4 linked regions of the Drosophila melanogaster genome follow. The protein of the gene in region 3 interacts with the protein of the main gene of each other region in a pairwise test. Each region holds a gene or a part of one and is shown on either strand. Other genes may lie near its edges. The genes, in order: Traf-like, Odj, CG8851 and CG3342.

What was found.
Region 1: the proteins of CG8851 (region 3) and Traf-like interact in a two-hybrid assay, tested with the Drosophila melanogaster proteins (2 studies listed by BioGRID).
Region 2: the proteins of CG8851 (region 3) and Odj interact in a two-hybrid assay, tested with the Drosophila melanogaster proteins (2 studies listed by BioGRID).
Region 4: the proteins of CG8851 (region 3) and CG3342 interact in a two-hybrid assay, tested with the Drosophila melanogaster proteins (2 studies listed by BioGRID).

The regions. Positions count from the first base shown.
Region 1 is NC_004354.4:16,413,481-16,418,120, reverse strand, and holds Traf-like (TNF-receptor-associated factor-like), read right to left. Parts: upstream 3,076-4,640; 5' UTR 2,698-3,075; coding exon 2,536-2,697; coding exon of another isoform or gene 2,465-2,535; coding exon 2,036-2,464; intron 1,967-2,035; coding exon 1,558-1,966; intron 1,503-1,557; coding exon 1,387-1,502; intron 1,327-1,386; coding exon 1,018-1,326; 3' UTR 536-1,017; downstream 1-535. Other genes in the region: AnxB11 (annexin B11), read left to right, coding at 1-40, 97-165, 226-291; CG4301 (uncharacterized protein), read right to left, coding at 3,821-4,034, 4,101-4,427, 4,492-4,640.
Region 2 is NT_033777.3:17,806,896-17,810,895, reverse strand, and holds Odj (oddjob), read left to right. Parts: upstream 1-1,673; 5' UTR 1,674-1,778; coding exon 1,779-1,895; intron 1,896-1,949; coding exon 1,950-2,680; intron 2,681-2,740; coding exon 2,741-2,860; intron 2,861-2,917; coding exon 2,918-3,242; 3' UTR 3,243-3,489; downstream 3,490-4,000. Other genes in the region: Alg1 (ALG1, chitobiosyldiphosphodolichol beta-mannosyltransferase), read left to right, coding at 1-416, 478-1,038, 1,097-1,316; CG17801 (uncharacterized protein), read left to right, coding at 3,827-3,949.
Region 3 is NT_033779.5:3,517,922-3,523,082, reverse strand, and holds CG8851 (uncharacterized protein), read right to left. Parts: upstream 3,407-5,161; 5' UTR 3,372-3,406; coding exon 3,135-3,371; intron 2,862-3,134; exon of another isoform or gene 2,705-2,861; coding exon 1,775-2,704; intron 1,716-1,774; coding exon 711-1,715; 3' UTR 528-710; downstream 1-527. Other genes in the region: Sr-CIV (scavenger receptor class C, type IV), read left to right, coding at 6-489; CG3213 (uncharacterized protein), read left to right, coding at 3,620-5,161.
Region 4 is NC_004354.4:6,525,550-6,529,786, forward strand, and holds CG3342 (uncharacterized protein), read right to left. Parts: upstream 2,340-4,237; 5' UTR 2,255-2,339; coding exon 2,202-2,254; intron 2,128-2,201; coding exon 819-2,127; 3' UTR 557-818; downstream 1-556. Other genes in the region: CG3918 (uncharacterized protein), read left to right, coding at 1-177; Agxt (Alanine-glyoxylate aminotransferase), read left to right, coding at 3,567-3,716, 4,018-4,237.

The sequences.
Region 1 (4,640 bases), on a different chromosome or scaffold from region 3:
TGACACCCAGTTGATCCGTGTGATCATCACGCGCAGCGAGGTAAGTACATCTATATATAATATCATTCAACCCTAAAATGTTGCAACGTTTTTCAGATTGATATGACGGACATTAAGGTAGCGTTCGAACGTCTGTACGGCAAGTCCCTCAAGAGCTGGATCAAGGTAAGATATATATATCTATCTATATCTATATTCTATAATCATATAAAATCCTACTTGCAGGGCGATACTTCGGGCCACTACAAGCACGCCCTTTATGCCCTGGTGGGTGAACAGCGCTCCTCTTAAGAATCTCCGCATATACATATATATGTATTATTCAAACCAAATCCGACGTGAAATCAATTATTCGAATATGTATTATCTCTTCTATGTATTCGTTCATTTAAATGCATACAACATACAAGAACACGCCAACGAAGCCAGACAATTATGATCCACAACGTAGACTATAAGTGCACACAAATAATACCTGAACGGGATCAGACATTTGATACCTCTTTCAAAGAAATGAACATGGGAACCGACAGTTGACAAGTGTTGAAGTTGTATTTTATTAAAAGACCTTTGTATTTAAATGCGTTCGTAAAGACAAATAATATGGAAGTTCCTCTCAAAAATCGCTTGTTAATTTGCTCGAAATGAAAAACCAAAAAATGAAAGAGTTGCTTATATCTTGACAAAGTGACCAGGGAAATGTTGCAATAAAAGCTATGCTTTCTAACTACCGACTTCGTCTCGACAGTGCCTCAATGTGACTATTGCCTAATTTGAAAAAAAGCATTTAAAACTGCAATGACATTTAAAACTACAATATACGCATATTGAAACGATGAATCGATTCGTATGCACTTATACACTATATATGTACACATACTCGTGTTTGTAAGCGGGTTTTTAACTTCCAGTTCGCTCTCAATGGAATAAATTATGTTTTATGTATGTGACAATCCGCAATTGGATTTTTTTTTTCTTATCGCTCCTGGTGGGTGGGATAGCGATGCTGCATGGGTTTTATTTTAGAACTCGAACCTCGATGAACATGGAATCGTTGCGAAGATAGTTGCGACTGGTGATTACCTTGTGTGGTATATGGAAGTACTGGTTGCTTTGGATAAAATCATCGCTCTTCTTGCGCACAAAGATGGTCTTCACATAATCCTCGGCATCTGCCACATTCGTGCACTGATCCCGGATGATGATCTCGGCCTGAAGGCGGCATGGCCAGGCCAGAAGGGGATCGTACTCTCCGGATAGAACGTTCAAGCAGGCGATCATGTTCCTGCCCTTCCAGGTGCCCTTGCCATTCAAGTATATATCCAGCTAGTAATGGGGTATACATATATAAATGGCATATCCAACCAAGATCCAACCTCAACTCACCCGTAGAGCATAGCCAAAGGCTTTATTGGAGAACATGGCGCTATGGAGGATGGTGTCGTACTGCTTGGACTCTTCCAGTTTTTTCGAGTAATCCTTGATGCGCCAAATCAAGTGTCCTGTACGACCAGATATTATATATTTAAATTACTATATTGAACCAACAATATGTACCCCTTATATTCTGGACACTGGCAATCCGCTGCTGCATGGCCATTTGGGTCTCCAAATCCGATATATTCTGCATGGTCTGGTGAAGTGCTCGATCCAATTTATCGCAACGTTCCTCCGTTTCGCACACAATGTTCTTCACATTCTTCACCTCATAGTCCAATGTGGCCTGCTTTGACGTCACATAGTCACTGTTGCCCAGCTTTGTTTTGATGTCCTCATTGATCTGCTGCAGAAACTCCTCGATCTGAAAGAACTTCTCCCTGTTGAGCCGCTCGTTCTCAAAGATCAGCTCCTCCAGCTTTAGGATATTGTCGTTTAGCTGATTCTGGTGATAGGTCACGTCCGCCGAGAGCTGATTGACCAGCTTTTGGGCCTCATCCAGCCTGGACTCCACTTGCTCTTTCAAGGACTTCGACGGAGATATGCACATTAAAGATAGATAGTATATATATATTTAAATAAAGTAGCATTAACTAACCTGTGTGATATCACAGCAGTACTGGACATCCAGCTGGTTCTGTTCGATGGCGAATGCCTTCCGATTGGTTTCCTCCTCCATCTGGCGACGCAGATCGTCCATTGCCTTCTCGGTTTCGCGGGTCCAGTCCTCGACGACCTGGTTCTGCTTCCGTATGTTGCCCACATCGGTAATGAGATGCAAACGCTGTCGTATCTCCTCGTTGAGAACGGACCGAATGGTGCCCACGTCCTGTTCAATGACCAGGAGACGCTGATCCGACTGCCTATCCAGGCGATCCATGCTGACACTCATGCGTTGCTGATTGCTCAGATTGTGCTGGTTGCGTGGACACTCCTTCAGATGGGATCGCATACGGATGCGTGGAATGAAGGCCTGACAGCCGTTGGGACACTCCTCCAGCACCTGGCCGCAGTGGATCAGGTGTTCCTGCAGTCGCATCCAAAGAGGAGTAATGTAATAGTAATCAAAGGTGAACTGAAAAGTTGGACGATTATAACCGTGAATGTCTGGGCATCGAACCATTCGTTGCAGAAGAGGCACGACGACTTCTCATACTTGACTATGGTCGTCGATTTGGGCTGATTCTGATTCTCATTCTGATTCTGATACTGATTCTGCTCGGTTAGATCCTTTCTCGACGACGACTTGGTCAGTGACATTATATTGATTAAAGGAAAGCAAATTCGATTGAAACTTTGGATCAGCAAATTCTCTGGCGCTGCGAGCACCGCCCTATGCACACTAAACTCAGCCAAAAATGATTAAGAATTTCCTTGGGCATAGTCATACGCGGCGCACACAGACATGGTTTAGATATAGCTTTGCACATGTGTTAGCATTAGGGCGTCCATGGGAATCTATACGACAACCTCGAACTGATAGCACTGCCATTTGGTGCGATTACCACTATTTCGAAATGCGAGAGCAACCAACGAATCGTATTGACCACTAACTTGGCGAACTACGACCAGGAAAACACAGCCACCGAGAATCCACTAAAATCGTAACCGTCACCAGATCTTCCAGCGACTATATGGCCACATATGTACCTGCAAAATGTTCATATCTCTAGCTCCCCTTGTACAAACATATTCGGAATGCGAGTGGAGATAACATTATCAATGAAAAACGGGCTTCACAATCAAAACTTTGTCCATTGCCTCGGCAATGCAAATGGTAACGACGCCATCAACTAGATAACAATGTGGTGGGCGGCAGTGATCGTGGGCGTGGCAGTGGGTATGGCCGAACCAACAGGTGCCCTACGTACACATATGTGGATCGGGATTGAAGTACATTTACTGACTCGCCGCCCTACTTTATGGTATCAAAAGTGGGGCAACGGCTAAACTGTGATAAAAACGGGCTATATACTTTCGTATATATTTTTAAACAATATCCGATGTAGGAAAAATATTAAATAAATCCTTTATTAATTAGATGTTTGTATCGTGTAGCTGTATTGAAACCCAGCATTTTCGTAAACGAACCATTTTTCCAAGTGTAGTTGCACTTGCTCTCAATAAGTCGCCGAGATTATGATAAAAATGTTATCAGCCTAAAATGTCGTACTTCCCAGTTGATTGCGAGTGTTAGCATACGATTTCAAGGTTCTCCATTTGGGAAGTTGAGATACTTTCCTACCTCTAAGGTGGTGGTCAGAAATCAAATCTATTGTTCAAACGTTTAACAAAAATTTGTTTATCTAACAAAAAAAAAAAAAATTGTATACATGAGGAAATAAATAAATTAGGGGTATAAAAACTATAGCCTAATCGACGATTACAAGTATGTGGACTCAAACTTCTCGCGCATCTTAAGTTTCCGTTGTTTTCCGGGAAAAATGCTGAAACTCTTTATGTTGAGCGCCCTCTGGAGCATTCGGATGGTATAGTCGGGTACCAGGCAGGCCACACAGGTCACTATGATCCACAGCCAGACTGGCAGTGAGGCCAACAGATTGTTGTAGGCCCAGTAGATGTCGGTGTCGTAGTCCCTGCAAATAATACATATACATATTAGTTTAAACCTTAAATGGATACATTCGTAGCCATGAACTCACAGATTGATAACGTTGTAGATAACCGTTGTGACTACAAAGCCCAAAATGGAAATGATAATGGTGAATATATACCAAAAGGACAGATACATTGACTCGAGCCAGAGCTTAAGGTTCACGACCACCACCACCGTCCACATGAGGAGGGTGCCGAAGCAGGAGAAGGCCACCGTCTGTCCGTAGTTCAGGAGAACGTTGTTGTAGTAGAAGAAGCAGAAGGCGAAGTAGAATATGATGACACTGTGGTAGATCGCAAATAGGACCCACATCAGGAAGTACGGCCAGTGGAGCTGCTTGTTGTCCGTGTTCTTCTTGTAAAGCTGTGGCGTTCTGTTCAAGTTGCATTTTTAGTAACATCAACATTATACATATAAACGATTGAACCCACTGTTACCTCATCAACTTCTCCTCGGTGTATGGCTTCTCGGAGATAGCTATGAACAAAATGGGCAGCGAGGTGTATATCACATTGTACAAGGTAAGGAATAGCGAATCGTAGACGGAGGATGAGGAGAACAGCGTGTGAAACTGGAACAGGAACAT
Region 2 (4,000 bases), on a different chromosome or scaffold from region 3:
CCGCTGGAGGAACTGACTCAACATCCACGTTGCCGAATCCACGAGCTAACTGCCGTCCCAGTGACGAACCTAACACCCAAACTGCGCCTGCTCTTCAAGGCCTTTTGGCAGACGCTCAGTCTGCTGATGGCTCTCATCTCCATTGGCCGTCCCAGCTTCCTACTCGTCCAGAATCCGCCCGGCATTCCCACGCTGATTGTGTGCTATCTGTACTGTGCGGTCACACGAACCAAGCTGGCCATCGATTGGCACAACTACACGTACACAGTGCTGGCATTGGGAATGTCGAAGGGAGAGCAGAGTCCTCTAATACGATTGGTTAGGCGACTGGAGCGATACTTCGGCTCCAAGGCACACACACACTTCTGTGTGACGCGGGCCATGCAAGAGGATCTGCAGCAAAACTGGGGCATTGGGTAAGTCCTCATCACATCCATCTAAACGAAGTAAATAACTCAGCCGCGACTCATCTTTCAGGCCTGTCAAAGTTCTGTATGATCGTGCGCCCGCGCAATTCCATCCCATCGACTTGACTCACAAGCACGAGCTGTACCTGAAGCTGGCCAAAGACTACCCACAGTTCCAGGCCAAGGACGCCGAACAATCCGATGTTCTGGAGGCCACCGCTCTTACCCAAAAGCTGGCCAGCGGTGTTGTGCAGTACAGACCACAGCGACAAGCCGTGCTGGTTTCCAGCACCAGTTGGACGCCGGACGAGGACTTCGGTATACTGCTTAAGGCTTTGCAAGCTTACGAGGAGACTGCGCAAGCAGAGCCGTTGGTTTATCCTTCCCTGCTGTGTATCATCACCGGAAAGGGGCCACAAAAGGAGCACTATGTGGCGGAGATCGAGAAGCTGCAATGGCAGAAGGTGTCGGTGATCACGCCCTGGCTAGAGATCGAGGACTACCCCACTGTTCTGGCCAGCGCCGACCTGGGCGTGTGTCTGCACTGGAGCACCAGTGGGCTCGACCTGCCCATGAAGGTGGTCGACATGTTCGGCAGCGGGCTGCCTGTCTGCGCCTACGATTTCAAGTGGTAACTAATCCTGCCATTTACTATTATTACTTACTAACTTCTACAAATGGCTCTTTAGCCTGGATGAGCTGGTGAAGCACGGCGAGAATGGCTTCGTGTTTGGCGACCATGTTCAGCTGGCCGAGCAGCTGAGGATTTGGTTCGAAAATTTTCCAAAGAATCCCAGCATCCTGGAGACAAGAGCTGGTTTTCAGCGCAAAATCCAGGAGTTCCAGGAGCTGCGATGGCGGGAGAGTTGGCGCCTGATCGCGGCCCCCGTACTGGAGGCATTTCTATAGAGCATTTTGACAAAGATTTGACAATTACACGTTATGAGAGACTTCCTTTGATTGCTAATCGCTTTTTCTAGGCTAGTTACTACAAATTCTGTACACAAAAGAGCTTCAAACTTGCTTATGATGCTTATTTTATTTTTATAATCGTAGCCTAAAGATAAAAATAAATTGCTAAAAAAAGGAGATATATACAACTATTTATTCGCTTGTAAAGCGTGTTTTCTTAGGAGTATTATGTATTTCAATTAAAAAAGAAAATTCACGGGATGCAGTGCCGATTTTTTTTTATTTGAACACCAATATCGATAGTCTGAAATAAACATCGATATATCGGAAAATTTTAAAAACATCAATGTTTGACACCTCTAGTTGCGGACAACGGTCACACTTCAAAACCAAACCGGCTGCGCAAAAATTACTATAATTTGTAATTAAAATTAATCAATTTTATTTAGTTTCGAAAGAATGAGCACCGAGTGTCGGATCTGCGGCGAGCGCATCTTCACGCCGCACCCAAAGAACATCTTCGAGAAGCGCAATCATCGCATTCGGATGGCCATCGAGCAAATCACGGGCTTAGAGGTGGCGTCCCTTTTATTTGTTGTCCGGAATTATTCATAATCTATGCATTTCCAGATCGTTTTAGAGAATATGCTGCCCCAGCACATATGCGCTTGTTGTCTCCTGGACCTGACCCAAGCCGTAGCCTTCAGGCAGCGATGCCTGGAGACGCACGCAAATCTCCACCAGAGGATCTCCTCGAAGGCGGGTGTCGCCTCAAAAGGCTCCCCGGAGGTTTCGCCAGTGCTTAGTGATCCGCTGCTGAAACGGGAGGTGCTGGATGATACAGTAGACACCGAGGACGATAAGGAGCTACTGGACGATGATAAGGATTTAATGGATGATGATAAGGATTTCTTGGAGGACGAAAAGCCGATTTTAAGATATCCTCCGGCCAAAAAAATCCGGATCGAGGACCAAAATTTCCCGAACAGACAGTCCCCACGAGTCAGGGTCAAGCGGCTTCGTGTGCCTGTGGTCGAGAAGGCAGATAGTCCACCGCCACCTCCGCGGGAGCACGTCCGAAAGCCCAGAAAGCGGCGACCAAAACCCAAGGTCGATCGCTCGATAAAGCGATACGTGTGCGACCAGTGCGGTTGGTCGTTCAACGATCACAGCAACATGAAGGATCACAAGCTGCGGCACTTCGAGGAGAAGTTTTCATGCGACGAGTGCGGTCGCAAGTTCTACACCATGCCACTGCTCCGATTGCACATTCGAGTCCATCACAAGGGCGAGAAACCGTACGTCTGCAAGTTCTGCGGTATGGGATTCGCCAATAGTCCCAGCCGCTGTCGTCATGAACGGTGAGTGCTGGCCTAATCATCACAAGTCCTTATCTATATAAACCATAAAAACCTTGACAGTCAAATGCATGCCAACGAGCTGGTGCACCCGTGCAAAATATGCGGCAAACGATTCAACAGCGAGAAGGGACGGCTGAAGCACGAGGAGGGGCACAAGAGTGACCAACCGGATGTCCATATGTAAGAATCATTGAAATATACGTAGCCATAGATGTACAAACTCATATTCTTTCACAGCTGCCTCACATGCAACAAGGAGTTCAAGGAGGCGCAGTTTTTGCATCGGCACTACTCCACAAAGTATCACCGCAAGCGGGTCAACTTGCTGGTTAATGGTCCAAAAGAGGAATTCCAGTCTGAAGTCGATCCGGCGGAGTTTCCGGGATATATGGAAGAGGGGCAGGCAGAAATGGAGGACAACCAGGCTGAACTGGACGTAATGTTAGATAACATTGACGAGGAACAATATGAGGACCACGAGGTACTTCAGGATGAGGACGCAAATTTTGAGGACTTCGAGTACGAGGAAGCCATTCCCGATGGAGAGGAGCTGTACACCTAACTTTAAGCACACAAAAAAAATCGACTGTTGGCGCCACACACTCCACACTCCACACGCCACAATGCCAGGGATGCAAACTATCTGACTTTTTCGGTGGTTCAGAGAAATCCTTTGAATCACCAGCCAGCCGTACGATTAGCACCAGTGTGGAAGGAATTCAACGTCGGTCTTAGATTACAATTTGTTATAAAATATATTTTATTCTAATTGCACAGCGCGCTTATTTTAATAAAAATTATATGGAACCAATTTCAAAAACGTCAGGAATTAGCCGAACGTGTGTTTTAGCTTGAACCTCTCTTTTTGGGAAAATTTAACCTCCCGTTTATAATATATAAATTTTAAATTATAAAAACTAGCTCGATGTTCCCTGGTTTCTAGGAAATAAGAACAGTTAGTTTTTCCACACCTATCTGGTAACGCCATGAAACAGGTAATTCATACAAATTTTGCTGCTTAGAGAGAGTAAACAGAAATTCTCGGATTGCGTACGCTCTTTTACCGTTTTTATTCCATAATTGACAACATAAAATCAATTAAACTACAGCTGATTGTTTTGGGAATTCAGCGGGATAAATGATCATATGTTTGAAATGAAAAAGCCTTCGCAATGCCATTTGTGCGCCTCGTGTTTCTGTCACCTGAATCCCACGATAATTTTTTGCCTGGAAGTTCTGGCCAAGATCAAGGATCTCACTGGAATATGGGTATGTTGATGGTTTCTTGTGTGCGTGAATGGCATAACCCATTTACTCCAT
Region 3 (5,161 bases):
TTTAGTCCCTACAAGTTCGACCAATTCGTGATGACTGGATCACAAGGTGCCAGGTGGCTGGAGCACACGATCGATATCAATAAGATGGATGAGGACTTCCAAGTGATCTTTACCGCCACGGATGCGAGGTCCCAATACGGAGATATTGCCATCGACGACGTGAAGCTGATGGCAGCTAAGGAATGTGCCAGGAGGTCTACCTTCATCGAGGAACCAAAAAAACCAATAGAAGAATCGGATATCACGGATTCACTGGGCTACCAAATGACCGACTGCTCTGGTCGTTGTGGTCAGGACTTTGTTCGGGGAAGGTACATCAATGAAGGGTGTCGATGCCAAGAATCATGTCTGGTGAACGGCAATTGTTGCCTAAATTATGTCAAGGAGTGCCATAAAGATCTGGTCATAGCTCCGTATAATGAACTCAAATTCTGGAGGCTTTGGAATCTTTGGAGCGGTGATAGTAATGTGACTGTCGTACCTAAATAAGTTCCTATCCCAATACATTTAACCGAATCATTAAAAGTACTTTTAAAAATGAGTTTACATAATCATTAGAGTGAAATAATTGGTGGCTTAATAAGGGCTGATAATGTCCAGGCAACTTGATGGCATAGTCCAAGTGCTGGGAGCAGTACCTTCAAGTTGCCTGGACAGCTGATGAGCCCAATCTAGTGCCTAGGTCTAGGCAGTCCAGTCCAGATCCCCGTTTAGATCGTCGCCTTCAGAGTTCGGGGGGCTGCAAATCGACCGTTGCTGGTTCCCTGGGGCAGCTGATTGATCCTGATCAGACTGGGTCGATGGGAACCACCTGATGTCAAGTGGGCAATGCCAGCCGACCCACTGCCAACGATGCCCGTGCCACCCTGATTCGTCATGGAGTAGATGTGCCGCCGGAGAACCCTTATGTGTTTCTGCGAGACCTCGAAGTTGTGGACCAGGGTGTGGAGTTGCGTCTGGAGCTCAGCTATCAGACTATCCCGTTCCTGGATCAAACTGGACGTCGAGTTTTGGCTCCTACTCAGCTTCAGTTCGAGGTCGTAGATCTTCTTCTGCAGATCCCTGCGCTGCTTTTCGCTCTGCTCGCGATGGCGGGAAAGTTGCCTTTTGCTGCTCGCCTGGAGCTGCTCCAGCTGATCCTTCATGGTGGACAGCTCCTGGGTCAGTTTCCGCTTCTCCGTCTTCAAGGCCGAGTTGTAGTTCTTAAAGATCTTCAGATCCCTTTCGGCGGCCTTCAGCCGGTTGATGGTGACCAACTTTCGGCGGCCCAGTTCATCTATTTTGACCTTCAGCTGCATGGCTTCCTGTTGGAGGGCATGAAGTTTATCCGCCAGCAGACAATTTTCCCGCATTACCGTCTCGTACTTGGAGTGCTCGTCTCGCATCATCTTCGGCAAATGGGAGACACTTTTCAGTTTGTTGTCTATCTTGGATCGCAGACTGTCTATGTCATGGTAGATGCTCGACTCCAACTGCTTGTTATTCACGTGCAGCTTCTCGATCTCCTGCTTCTGGGTGCTCATGATGTCCTGGGCTTTCACACACCGCGTGTGGTAGTCCGATATTCTCTCCTGCTGCTGCCGAATGAGAGTTCGAAACTGGACCTGCTCGCTCTTCAGTCCCTTAATGGTGGTAAGGAGCTGGCTTATATCTCCAGAGTCCCTGTCCCTGTCTCTGTCCCTACCTCGATCCCGTTCATGCTTGTACTTCTGATCCTGATTAAGGAAGAAGGTTTAAGTTTTTATATTCCATTTAGCTAACAGCTAATTCATACCTGTGAGGTGTTGATCACATCCTTCAGCACATTGTACACATCCTTGAAGGATGCTGGCTCCCTTTCCCGATCGTCCTGCTCCAAGGATCTCTTCCTGCGCTTCACGTGACGGTTCGCCAGTGTTTCCACAATACGGCTGTCAAAAACGCTGTTCACCTGTGATGGCAGATCGTCCTTGTGCCGATGGTGATTCTGCTGATGAGTACTCCTTTCGGACGCGTATTTCTTTCTATCGATTTCGTCGCAGGAACTCTGGCCCGATAGAACGGTCATGAAACTGGTATTGCTGCGCAGGATTTGGGGGCTCTTTCGTCTGATGGTCGTCTGCGAGGTGACACTGCTGGCAGAGCTATAAAATCCATCCGGATCGGGCTCACTTCCCAGATCCATTTGCTGGGCCTGCTTCCTGCTGGACACGAACTGATCGTGCTTCTGCTGCATTTCGCACAGCTCGTAGTTAATTTTCATGTACTTCTCCTCCAGATCCTTGGTGCTTTCGTTGTAGTCCTTGAGCTCCTGCTTGTACTTGCAGAGTTCCTCCTTTAGCTTGCTGCCAAGGGCTTCCGAGTCTGGCAACCTCCTCTTCGAGCCCAAACCCTTTCTGTAATCTTCCGGCTCTTCATCACTCATGATTAGGCTGACCTCCTTACCTTCCCTGCTGTTCTTGGGTAATTTTGTTATACTGGGACTACAGTGGTCCCCGAAGTCCAAGCTACTGGCACTTCTCGTATCTAGTACTTTGGAGCTCGGCCTGGAGAGGCTGACATAGCTACTCTTTTCATTTTCATCTGCCTGATCTTCGTTCTTCTCATCCAGCTCGAAGTCCAGTCCCATTGAGGTGTTACTAGATGATGTTCCTTTGCGATTCTGTGGACGGAATCGAAGTGATCGTTGTCTGTTGGCTAATGGTCGCCTGGATGGCTTTAACATCTACGAAAATTTAGCCTATTTGGTTAATGTTGCACTTGTGTAATTTTTTGCACTGTTTTTGGCGAACAGAGAATTTTTTTAAAAACCTTATGTGACACATTCAATTCCCAAAAATATTAATTTTACGTAGGACGTGACGAAAATTATTTGATAGAAAATTGGGCGTTACGCCTACTCGAATGGCATTTGCCTTCTGGAAAATATCGCTGTTCGAGGATTGATTATATCCTTAAGGTTTATATAATAGTTTTAGATAATAAACCACATCTCCCAGTAGAGTGATAATTTATATATGTATATTCCTACTGATTGCCCTTTAAATTTCCCATTTCACCGTAAAACATTTTCATACTTTTATGTTAGTAAAGGATACAGGTAGATTCTCATAACATATTTTCGAATAGATTTAAAATTATTTATTAAGATATACCATTTCCTTCAAGTCGCACTGTGTTTTGATTTTGAACCAATTCAAGTAGCGGCAGTAGTAAATATAGTTGTTTGTTTCGCCGAATAGATGCCTCGATACACACTCCTCCCGAAGGACACATTCCTGACCATCCTGGGAGGGAGGACTCCGGTAATCCACCTCGACAAAGCAAGTCCTCGATCCCAATCCAGTTCTCCGGGATCTTTCGTTCGATTCTCCCAAGTCGAAGCAGGCCATTCCAAATCTGTTGCCAACTGCCCAGGGCGAATGTCCGTGGATTTTTCAGTTCATTTTATTCGATCACGAAGAAAACAACTTATTCTTCCCAAAACTTGTTTCGAAATTTTTTCAGAGTATGTGTTAAAATTTTCGCAGAATATACGTACCTTAAAATCGTTAGTAAATCTAGCCAAATATAAAAAAAAAAAAAAAAAAATTTTAACCATACAATTTTTGGCCGCATCGATAAGTGAATCTAAATCGCGATGGCAGAGAACACAGAGTACACCGATGAGGGCGGCGAGTACGAGGACGATGAGAACCAGTACCTTGGCGAACAGCACATGATGGAGGAGGGGCCCGACGAGGACCTCTTCTCCAAGCTGGGCGAGTCCTCCGACGATCCCGAGCAGAAGCGCATGTACATGGAGTACCTGGCGCTGATCAAGGAGATCGATTGCCAGAACAAGATCATCCAGGACATCAAGAGCAACATCATGGACATGTGCGCCAAGCCCTGCAAGACCCGCAACGAACTGCGCGAGATCAAGCGGTTGAGGATTTGCATGGAGCAGGAGAACATTAAGCTGCACACCATGATGAACAGAGCGGTGCAGCTGCAAAACTTCGGCTCCCATCGGCACTACAAGGAGCTGGCCATGACCACCACCGTCGACGAGGACAACCTGTCACCGTATATGTGTGGCATCGGTCCTTGTGCTCCAGCTGGCAGCGCCACGGATCCCTGTAGCGAAGAGCCTAGCTCGTGTGCCAGTGTTTGTGGTGGCGGCGGAGGCGGTGGAGGTCAACGGGACATGGCTGGTCAGGACGACAAGTTGATCTGCGCTCTGCAAAAGGCCATGCAGAAGATGAAGGGCGCTTGTCCTGAGGACAAGAAGATGATCGAAGAGATCGCCTGCGCTATAATGAGCTGCAAGAAGCAGCCGGTATGCGTTCCGGGTCCCTGTCCGCCACCACCCTGTCCGGGTCCTTGCCAAGGTCCTTGCCCGGAGAGCAGCAGCAGCAGCATTGCCCCATGTCCTCCTCCCTGTCCAGCCAAACGGAAGGCTCAGAAGGCTCCCTGCCCCCAGCCCCAGCCCCAGCCACCGGGCAAGTGCGAGTCCTTGGAGAAACTGAAGCGGCGCATCCAATGCATGCAGACCTCGGTGAAGAAGTTGCTCCAGGAGGTGAGCAATCGGGATGCGTCCGAACCCTGTGACGTCGACGACGATGACGATGAAGGAGAGGAGGACCCCTGCTCCAGGCCGTGTCCTCCCAGGCCGCCGTGTCCCGAGGATCCAGACCCACTGGTCATCTGCGGCGGAAAGCGGAACACCAAGGCCGACAAGTACGAGAAGATGAAGGAGAACTACACCAGGCTGCTAACCGAGTTTCAGCGCAAGGACTGCCAGATGAAGGAGATGCAGAAGCGAATGAAGGGTATCTGTGGTCCCTGTCCATCGAAAGGGGGCGACGGGGATGCCGATGCCGCCGAGCTGAATCTACTTCGAGCGCGGGTCAACGAGCTCAAGGAGGAGCAGCTGGAGTTCAAGTGCATCATGAAGGAGCAGTCGCAGCAGTTAGAGGACTACCGCAACAAGTACCTGCTGGCCCAGCAGAAGGTCGAGGAACAGTGCGTCTCCCTAGAGAAGCTGAACATGAACAACAAACGAATCGAACAGCAGATCAACACGGAGGTCAAAGAGATTCGAGCTAAGTTCCAAGAGAAACTGAACGAGTTACTGCACTTCCCCAAGCTCTTAGAGAACGAGCAGCTGAAGCTGGCCCAGGTTTGCAAGGAGAAGGAT
Region 4 (4,237 bases), on a different chromosome or scaffold from region 3:
GAGTACGGACGCAAGAAGAAGCGGCAGGGCAAGTACAAGCGCAAGTCCACGGACACGGCCATGCTGCGACGCAAGAAGACCAAGGCGAAGCGGAAGCGACATCGTGCCGGCGGATCCGGTGCTCCGACCGCCGGCAGCAGCTACCTGAGCAGCCTCAGCGACAGCAGCACCTACTGAGAAAGAAAAGAAACAAACAAGGATTAACTGGATCAGCAAGAGAATCTAGATGTGGATCTGTATCTGGATCTGGATCAGCATCAGGATGGATAGACAGCTGCCTCCCAAAGCACTCGCTCCGCAAACTAGCTCGCTTTCCATTTTAGCCGTAAAAACGTAAAGGAGCAGGACCGCCAGCCCATCCTTTCCGCTCCTCACTTCCACAGAGAGACTGCCAGTTCCACTTCCAGTTCCAGGCCCCAAAACAACTTCTCCATGAACTCTTCCCACGGATTATGAGACGCGCAAACCGTAGACTTGTCCCTATACCTTAAATTTCAGCCCGATGTGTGCTGCAAATACAACAAATTAGTTTGTACAAGAGGAAGTCGGAGTTTTTCATAATTGAGAGAGAGCAAAGCATGGGTTGCTATTAATTATAATCTTCCGCAACATATTTTATATCTCACATTTAGTAATAATAGTTGTAATAGATTAGAAAATCGCTTTGTAAATGAGCCCAATAACATGGCAATCTAATGACTTAAAGATAGCTAATAGTGTCTGGCTTGTATTTGTGGATATGTTACGCGACCTAACAAATGATTTAATACACTTTTCGATAGTAATACCGAACATATATAATACGCCTACGTTAGGTGCTATAACCGACCCGAACTGGAGCTGGAGTCGCCTGATTTCTGAAAGATTCGCAGCGCTTCCTGCAGTGCGGAAATGTGTAGCTGCATTTTGGCTATTTGCCGGGAAGACGACTCGCAATTGCGGCAATGGGCAGGCGAAGCAGCTGTGCTTGAATCGGAAATATGCTGGCTGGCTAACAACAGCTGGGCATTCTGCGACTTGAGCTCGCCATTCTGGACTAGTAGCTCCTCGCAAAGGGCGCACGCCGAGCAGCGTAGATCCTCCAGCGCCTGTTCGCGTGCCTTGAGGTTGCGCATTAGCGCTCGATTCTCCCGCTTCAAGTTGAGCAGCTTCTGCTCCAGCTCCAGCATCTCGTCCTCGCTGTCGCGTTCCAGCAGCGGATCACTGGGCTTCTTGGGCGCAACACTCGACTGGCCGCCCATGCGATTCATGGCCTGCAGAATGGCGTCCATCTTGTGCTCCATTAACGCACCCGAGGCACGCTGTTCGTCTAGATATTTGTCCAGTGTCGTCACAGCCAACGGAGTATCGCTGCTCGTTGAAGCGTTGGCCACCGCCAGGGAACTGGCACTGAGTTTCCTGTGAGCATTTGACGAACCTATGGGTCGCGGCACTGGCGTTACTATCACATCCTCATTGGAAGGTGTCTCTGTTTCCCGTTCGCGTTCCTCATCGTCCGCCTTCTCCAGCGTTGGCAGCGTTACGCGGGAACGTGGTTGCGGCTGTGGCGGATTAGGCGTCGTCTTTGTGACCGTTGCTTTAGTTCGGATCTTAGATAAATCCTCACGCGAAGGCGATGCCGAGCTGGAGGATGAGATCTCGCTGAGATAGTGCTCCACTGGCAGTTTGTTTTTGACCATAAACGTTATGAATTCCTTCTCATCCGGTTCCTTGTCGAATCGCAGGCTCCAGAAGCGCTGCTCGTCATCGTAGAACTGCAGATAGGATTCGCGCAGTATCACCTTGCCGCCACGCGGTGTCAACTGCAGCGTGGTCAGCACCTGACTCTTGCTGCGGTAGACAATCAGCTTGCTGGCCTCCATCTCGCCCAGAATCGAGAGGGCCAGGCCGACGCGTCCAACGTTCTCGCTGCTCCGATAGGCATGCACCACCTTGGCAATGGCCGTGTTCCAGGCGGCAGGCGGTGAATCACCCGTCTCCTGGGTGCTACTCCTGGTCATGGCCGGTCTTTTGCCAGCCTGCAATTTTTTGGAGCTGCCTGGCTGATAGCGCAAGCTGGATGATTCGTTCGCCAGCGGACGATCGTCGTCCTCAAAGATCTGGCGCAAGTTGCGAGGACCCGATTCACTGGAGTTCATATATATTTAATATGTATATACCACTGTGCCAAGTGTCCCAATCCCGTCCAGAAACAGACTCACCTTCGCAACTTGTCGAAGAAGTCCTGATAGGACTGATCGTTGCCGATTTCCATGCCTAATTATGCAGTCGCATCGAAAATGTTTAAAAACATTAACTATTGTTCAGTTTGTTTTGACCGAAACAGAAAGTGTGACCAAGCGCCAAAACGAAGAAAACTTGTTTCCACCGGTGAATTGCTTTCAGGAAAATTATAAAATATTATAACTAAATATTAAGCAAAAAGGCCATAAAATAAACATATTTATACATATATATGTTTAATATAGTCAACTGTAATAGAATATATATTCTATATTCAATTCGTTTCAATATAATTAATTCAATATATTAAAACCAAACTGAACTTACTTCTACATTCGAAACAATGTTTTTAAAAAGATGCTTGTGCCTTAAATATGGAAAAATCAATCAATATTTAAACGAACATTTAAATTTTATAGTCACGACCTGCTAATTTGACTGCTTATCACTTTCCTAAATCTATGTTTTTGTTTTTATTTTGATTCTAATTTCACCACCAGCGAAATGGTAATAAATATTTTCGGCCACTCAATACGACATTTGTATTATTGGCGGTTGACCTCCTGGTCACGATGTGTTTTCCACTCCAAATCGCTAATGGAAAAACTGACGATACGGGCACTGCTATCAACCCAAATGTTAGTTGTCAGTGGGCTGAGATTTCGAGAGAATTAAGATCTAGATGCTAGATCTTGATCTCTGCACTCTGCAGATGCTTCCAGCTTCGAAAAAGAAGTTGCTACATTACGTATACGTACCCACAGTCAAGGTTCGTCTTGCTGAATTCGCTGGATTTCTTATTTCACAATAGACATTGGTCCGCCAACCTTCCCAAGGCCATTCAAAGAATCAGCAGCAGCACACTGCAAACAAAAAATGGTACTTCTTTCAGATTAACAATGAAATTAATTGAGTAGTAAGTCATATTATTTCGTAAAGATCTTGTCTTAAAACTGTGTATGATTTTTTGACCCATCAAATGGCAGTCTTAACTTATTATTCTTATTCCAAATTTCGTTCTGTGCCGCCAACGACGCAGTTGCTCTCGATCTTGATGCCTTGATAAGCGGGAGAGCGCATCATTTACCACTTGTTCAAGTGCGTTCATCGGCGAAAATTGCGGCGATAAGCTGCGATCCGGTGCGCTATAAAGTGGCCAGCAGCCCGGCAAGCGTTTCAGTCCGATCTTGGCCAGCCACCGAGAGAGACAGCCCATAAAAACCAACTCCCATCACCAAACAGTAGTAACACCCATTCTACCTGGCACAGCGGATTAGAGAGCAGAAGGCGATAAGGCAGTCGTAAACACAGAGATCTGATTACGTAAATAGGGAACAAAGACCATGGAGGTACCACCGCCACTTGTACTCAAGCGACCGCTCTATGTGCCCAGCAAGACGTTGATGGGGCCCGGACCCTCCAACTGTTCCCATCGCGTCCTGGAGGCCATGAGCAATCCGGTGTTGGGTCACATGCATCCCGAATGCCTGCAGGTACAATATCTTCTTAAAACCACAAAAGTGCTAGCAAGATTGAGCTTAATACTCGAATTATATCGAAAAGTTAAGCCCAAGTCCATATACTCATGGGCCGCACTGTACCTTATCTGAACGAAGTGAAACATTGAGATACATTTGCTGAGCTGGGTCAGAGATCTGTGGGCTAGCCAGTCGAGTGAAACCAGCACATCTCTTATACTTTATAGCAATCTAATATTAGTGATCCCCCCATGAATTGAGCTATTCCCACTGAGCATGGCCAGGTGTTTGTATATTAATCTCTGTATATCTGCAGATCATGGACGAGGTGAAGGAGGGCATTAAGTACATCTTTCAGACACTCAACGATGCCACCATGTGCATCAGCGGCGCCGGCCACTCGGGCATGGAGGCCGCTCTGTGCAATCTGATCGAGGATGGCGATGTGGTGCTCATGGGCATCACGGGCGTCTGGGGTCATCGGGCCGGGGATATGGCCCGTCGCTATGGTGCCGAAGTTCACTACGTGGAGGCGA